2 linked regions of the Caenorhabditis elegans genome follow. The protein of the gene in region 1 interacts with the protein of each later gene in a pairwise test. Each region holds a gene or a part of one and is shown on either strand. Other genes may lie near its edges. The genes, in order: Y106G6H.13 and rmd-3.

Region 1 (3,150 bases):
TTGCAACGAAATTCTTTTTGATAGGCGGTGGAGATTTGATATCTTCTGGACTTTTCAGATTTTCGAGTTTTAAATTCTTGGGAGTTGATGAAAATCTGAAAAAAATAAAGAGAATTACAACAATTTTGAGAATAAAATAAATATCATACGTTTTTGTGGGAGTTGTCTTGTAGAATGGAGACGTTTCCTTTGGCTTTGGGGATGAGGAAAATATCGATGATTTCGGAGAAAGCAACTCCCTCGAGCAGTTTTTCAGGTTAATTTGTGGTTTTATGACGAAAGATATCTTCGAACGATCCATTTGGTTAGTTGGAGTGTGTTTTGGTGTTGAAGAAGCGTATGGAGAAGGAGTCAGCGTATGTTGAAGATTTACCATCTTTTTCTGTTGATAATCAGCTGATTGTTTCCTCTGTAGATAGTTTTCCAAGTCTTCAGAACTGAAAATAATAATAAAGTTTAGTTTTTTTTTTAATTTATTTAGGCTGAATAAAAAACATCATGAGTTTGTTTGATAATCCTGAAAATCACCTAATTTCGGCGTACTGAAATTTGAAACAATATATTTAATCAAAAATTAGTTTAATTAAAGAATATAAAATTCACCTGAGAATGCATCTAAATTAAGTTTTAAATGTATCTCGGCTCTAATTTTTAATTAAATAAATTAAAATATGCCACGATAGAGTATTTTATTGAACTGCCATGTTCCTTACTACTACACAAAGCTGCCGTATCCCATGGAGACGTGCGTAGCAGGACATTCTCAACTTACTTTTTTCCATGATCAGCGGAATTGCTGCTTTTGTTGGAGGAGAAAGTTGCAAGATTCCGTTTTTTTGGATGTTCCATTACTGAAATATTTATTGTTTATTTTTTTAATAGCCATACAATTTAATTTACCATCTTTATTGGCTTCAATCATTTTATTAAACTGATTTACAACCCATCCCATGTGCCTGTGAGCATCGTGGCTTGTGAATTCAAGTTTGATATAACTGAAAATTATATTTATTAATTGAGAGTGTGATTTTAAGTTTGAGATTATTACTAATTTTCACTTTAAACAGAAATTCTGGAATATTTGTAAATTGGCAAGAAATTATCGAAAATTAAAGAGAAGTATCTTTACAATGGTATTTTATAGATATAGCAGGCCGCAAAAATGTTTTTTGTAGAATTTCAATTCTAAAGGAGCGATTTTTTTAAAAATATGATATTTCATTTAAAAAAAATTAAATCACCTTTCTTCGCACTGTTTATTCAACTCAATGTTCAACAATTTGGCTCCCGTATGTGAATTATCCGCTATCGGCTTGTACATCATTTGTGTATAGTAATACTCTTTGTCTCCTCCTCCGGGACACCTGAATCTGATAGAATCCGATGTGAATTCGATTTGTCTCTTCAACATTCTTATAGGTGTGATGCGAGGTCTTGTGATGGTCACGTCAATAAAGAAGTTTTCCAGCATCTGAAAACAGGATATTTAAATATATTTTAACGTTGAAATTTGAAACAAAAGCAAAATAGTAATTATTATACATACGTGACATTCTAATTGCTTATCAATAAAACTAATCTGGCAAAAAAAATCTCCCCTCCCGTGAAGTGAAATCGAAAATCAAATTATTTCGATTTTAGTCCAACCCTAGGAACACATTTCGATTCGCATCAAGTAAGTGCTTTAACAGGAAATTCTGTGAAGGCAAGCGGTAGCTGAGATCAGTGGCAAGAAGAATTTCTTTAGAACATCCTAAAGAGCTGCTGAAACTCTTTGACTGAAATTTTGTGATGTGCTGGTAGGAGATTCTTCTAGCCACTGCTATTTTCTAACATTTATTTCTTCTTGATATTCCACTATAATCGGAATCTCCTATCTAATATTCATTTAAAAAAATGAATAAGTATTTTGCAGCTCACTCAAGATGGCATACGTCGAGAGCTTCTACATGGATGCTAGTTTGGAGAGCGACGCCGACGTTCTTCCAGCATCGGAGAGTGATATGTTTGAGGCACAATTCATTGCCGATGTCCCACTCGACGGCGACGCGATCATTCGTATCGTTGATTCACAACTCGCTTTTGAGCAACGCAACCACGTTGTGTCGGACTATTGCACCATGAAGGCCGCGGAGCTCGAGAAGAACCCGAATCAACTGACAATGAACAGCTCAGTTATGGACAATCAGCAATATTTTGCCCCGCCAAAAAGTGAATCGTCGCAATATGCATGGAACACGAATGATGTTGTCTCTTCTCATCATCAATATGCTGCTCAGAGCCCAAACATCTACACCAACGACTATCACACCAGTGAACCATCCGATTATGCCTATATATAACTTGATGGAATGAGTAAACATTTGTATTTTGGGTTTCTGTATTTACTCGTTATTCAGCCGCAAAATTAGAGAAATCTAGACTTTCGCGACGAGACCCAGCTTATCTATTTCAAGGTGGTCGTAGAATCGTTTAATTTAAGACTTCTCAATCCCTATTCACACATTAAAAAGCAAAACTACGATACTTGAATAGCATTAGTTCTGAAATAGAAAGATTAAAAGTAAAGAAAACCTCGATTCAAACGAGTATTTGAAAAAGGAGAATAGAGGGAAAAAAAAGTTTATCACAGGTTGGGCAAAGTTTCAATAAATATCGACAAGTGTTTGAGAAATAATTACAAGATGTCAAAAGGAATAAATATTGCAAATTTAATAGTCTTAATCAGCATCCGAGTCTGACAAATATTCAGCATACTCTTCTTCATTCACACGATCCTCTTTCATTGCTTTGTCTAGAAGAGCAGCGATATCAGCATCCTGGAATTATTTTTTCTATAGAAAACTTCTATAAAAAACAATATTTACTTTTGTCACATCACTCGGCAGCTTTTGATCTTGATTCCTTACAAATGGATTGGCTGACGAAGCGAGAAGAAGTCTCACACATTCCACGTGGCCTTTGTAGGCCGCTGCATGAAGAGGCGTATCACCGAGTTTGTTCTGAAAATTTAATTTTTAGAGATTCGTTACATGTGAAAGAATATTTCAACAAACCTGAACCGAAACTGCAACTTTTGGATCCTTCAACAACGTATCCACTGCTGGCGCGTGTCCACCATGTGAAGCCCAGTAAAGTGGTGTAGCTCCG
Region 2 (3,605 bases), on another chromosome or scaffold:
CGCAAGTTTTACAGACATCTCTGAAATTATCAAATTTAGGATTTCAAAATAATTCGGCCAAAGAAATGTAACTCACCTAGTCTTCGAGAAGCAGAGACTTGTCGATTTCCTACCGGATTCGTCTCCTTTTATTAGGAAATCTTTCCGCAAGTTTTCAAGTTTTTTTTGTTTTTTTTTTACATTACCGACGAGACAGTGTGCGAGACGCAGAGACGATAAAAGACTGGATAAGAACGGGAGATAAGGAGTACGGATGTAGGTGAGGAATGTGGCCGAAAGGACAGATGGGCTTTATTCGGGAAGATTGGTTGGGAAATGAACCAGAGAAGAATGACTGAATAAAGTTGTTGAAACTTGGTGAGAATGGAAGATAGACAATCGAGGGCAGAGTTGGTTGAAAACTATGATGGCTCATCAGTAGATTTGAAGGCAAAATGGGCTTTCTTCGAGTATCGTTAAAATCCAATGAATCAGATTGGAACGATAACGCAGATACAAAAGATAATTAATCTGAAATTGTTAAATAAAGTATCATAATTTATACTTGTTACTTCAGATGGCAAGTTTGGAAACCTTAAGCTATTGGCAAATGTTGAAACATTCATCTGCTTCGAAGAGAACATTTTAAAATATTCGAAAGTGGAAAAGGTTAATCCTGAAAGTGAATGTGCTGCCATCCTTGTTAACATTATGATTCTTTGCATGCCAACCCAGTAAATCTTTTAAACTTTTTATTCTCTACATTTCTACAATACTACAACGCATTTGTGCACGTTATTTAAATATTCTGGCTCGACTTGTCATGTGGAAGCTGAAGCCTAAAGCTTCGACAACATCTGCTTCGCATCATCGGCAAACTCCTGCTCAGCGTCCGAATACGGCTCGATGTCGCAAACTTCAGTGAGATACTTGCGAGCGTTGGCCTGGAATTATTAACTATTTTTTAGAAATTTGCATGAAGCTTCCTTACCTTGTCTTTAATAGCCACGTAGCATTTGGACACGTAGAAAGTGTTCTCCATCCACTTCGGATTGACCTTGTAAGCAGCAAGGAAATCCTCGTTGGCCTCCTCATACGAATGCGATGGTGGTTGCTGATAGAAAGTGGCAGCAAGCTTCTTCTCGAGCCATGTCAGAGACGCCACCGAGTACTTATAACGGCCACGCAAATGGAGAACAGCTGTGTCCTTTGGCTCCTTGGCAAGAGTTTTGTCGAGCAATTCCTTGAACTTCTTACTGCATTCCAACTTTTCCTTGGTTGCCATGTATTCGGTTGCTTGTCCAGTCAACACTGCATTCCACTTCAATGCCTTGAAATGGTTTGGATCCTTCTGGACAGCTTCTTCGGCAAACTTGAGTCCTTCAGTGACACTTGCCTTGCGTTGAGCTTTTGGAACACAAGCTGACTTCTCATGAATCACTTGAGCAAGTCTCCACAAGACTTCCACCGAACGATCGCCTTTGTCGAGACGCTGAAAATAGAAAGAGATGAACAATGAAACTATATTCTTTATAACATCTCTTAAGGCTCTCATGTAGGCGGCAAAGCGCCTGTCTGTCTGGCCTTCGCCTGCCTGCACGTGAACTTCTTTTTTATTTCGTGATTAGACATTCATCAAAACGAGTGGAATCACAAAATTAGAACTATGTGAATTCACGTGGCAGGCAGGTTAAAGGCAGGCCCATGTGCTTATCATGGGAGCCTTAATATCTTCCATATCTAAAACTTACCGCTTTGAGCAAATCATATCCTTGATCACGGTTTTTGGTTCCGAAGGTCTTGTCAATTTCATCAAAATTCTGAAAAAAAAAACGATGAAATTTTTTTTTGAAACTCGATAGAACTTACCATGGTGTGGTTGATCGGTGTTGATTAACAACGGGAAATAATTGATTTGGAAGTTCAAGAAGGGGTGGAGTCTGTGGAATGCCACGTTGCAAGAATTAGGGAATAGGGAGGCCACGGTTTTTCAAAAATTTGATTATTTGAAATTTTTATTGGAAAATAAATTAAATCCTTTCAAGTTTTTTTAGCGTGAAATATTAAGGAATTAAAATAAAATGCAAATTGGCAAAAACAAAGCTCGATAATTAGGTAACTGGAAAATTGCACCTTTCAGGGTTTTTAAGAATTTTTTCAATGAATTAAAAATTACTTTCTATATTTTTTTGACCAACTTTTGATTTAAAAAAGTGTTGAAACATTTTGTAGAATTGCTGAAAATATGTAAGTCCAAAGATAAGTGCTTCGTGCAAAAGTCTTCGACACTACCGTACTCCCATGGCTCTGAAGCCGGAACTTGATTGTGTGTATCAGACTATGAAAAAAATTATTTTAAAAATTTTATCGCAAAAAATATTACAGATACGTAGGCATCACAATGGGACAGAAATTTCCGGTACGGGAGAGAATGGAAAGTTTGTATAAATCAAGTTTGAAGTATAAAAATAAGGCGTGGAAAACAGGACAGATTGACAGATTTTTTTACAGTGCGTAGGCTCAGGTGGTGAACAAAAAAATTTTAAAATGATGATAAGCAAGTTTAAAACTTTCCGCGTTCTAAAAGAATTCCAAGAAAGTCATGAAGAGAAAAACGGAGAACATCAAAGCCGAGAACATGTTGTTCATAGCCAAATAGATGTGCCGCCAATCCTGAGTGTAGTCGAGCTGAAACAATAATTTATAAGTTTCCAAATATTCAGGACCTAAGTTCTACCTCGGCGCCAGGTCTTATCACCGACTGCTGCTGACTAACCTCGCTTGTAGTTCGGCTTTCCGGAGTGTCCTCTTCCACGTAGCGATGATAAGCATCACTTCTTTCCGGCTCAATACAGCATACAACTCGGTTTATCTGAAGATTCTTGTTAGATTTTGAGTTAGGGAAGCGCTTACCAATTTCGCTGAAAGGAATAGCCGATGAGATGGTGGGACGTTTCGTTTGACACGACTGAGAGCCATAACTACAAGCGTTACCAGAATGCTCATAAAGCTGATTGTAAAGATCAGTTCGTAGAAAATGTCTGAAAAGAAATTTCCAGACTTTTATTTTGGTGATGTTTTACTGGCTACTACAGAATATATTGAAGATAATTCTACAGTACTCCACCCGGGTTGGTTCTTCAGAAACCTTTCCGTATTTTCCCTATCCAACTTGCACCCCAATTGCTCTACTTTGATGGCTTATATCTTGGTTGTCATAAGTTTTATCAAAAAATATTTAACTATAAAAATGTAGAGAAGAATTTTTCCCGTCCTTTGTTAGTTGAGCATTTTTTGATAAAATTAAAGACAACCGAGATATAAGCCGTCAAAGTAGAACAAGGTAGAGAAAGTCTAATTGGGAAAGGTACGGCACTTCATTTTTATTGTGCGAGCTAGCAATTTTTCAACTATTCCTTACAATTTGTGAGCTTCAAAAGTTTCATGGGGGCAGTCACAAAAATATCTGACCGTCTTTAAGGCTGAATTTGCCTAACTTGTGCCTACTGCCTGATATCTCAAGTCAGAGAATTAAAGTTTTGAATCAAAAAACCTTACAAATTCGTGGTCTGACTCCAAGAAAACCGTTCAATGGAGTTATGGTGCAAAGGTAGAGAAAGCATAAT

The links.
Region 2: the proteins of Y106G6H.13 (region 1) and rmd-3 interact in a two-hybrid assay, tested with the Caenorhabditis elegans proteins (one large-scale study listed by BioGRID).

Annotation. Positions count from the first base shown.
Region 1 is NC_003279.8:10,469,586-10,472,735, forward strand, and holds Y106G6H.13 (Reverse transcriptase domain-containing protein), read left to right. Parts: upstream 1-1,925; coding exon 1,926-2,342; downstream 2,343-3,150. Other genes in the region: duo-3 (ubiquitinyl hydrolase 1), read right to left, coding at 1-95, 150-437, 773-851, 901-995, 1,242-1,471; Y106G6H.14 (Osteoclast-stimulating factor 1), read right to left, coding at 2,721-2,819, 2,868-3,002, 3,057-3,150.
Region 2 is NC_003280.10:11,337,732-11,341,336, forward strand, and holds rmd-3 (Regulator of microtubule dynamics protein 1), read right to left. Parts: upstream 1,877-3,605; 5' UTR 1,852-1,876; coding exon 1,849-1,851; intron 1,800-1,848; coding exon 1,731-1,799; intron 1,472-1,730; coding exon 971-1,471; intron 924-970; coding exon 819-923; 3' UTR 720-818; downstream 1-719. Other genes in the region: Cuticle collagen sqt-1, read right to left, coding at 1-18; lgc-20 (Neurotransmitter-gated ion-channel ligand-binding domain-containing protein), read right to left, coding at 2,560-2,667, 2,717-2,851, 2,893-3,020, 3,538-3,605.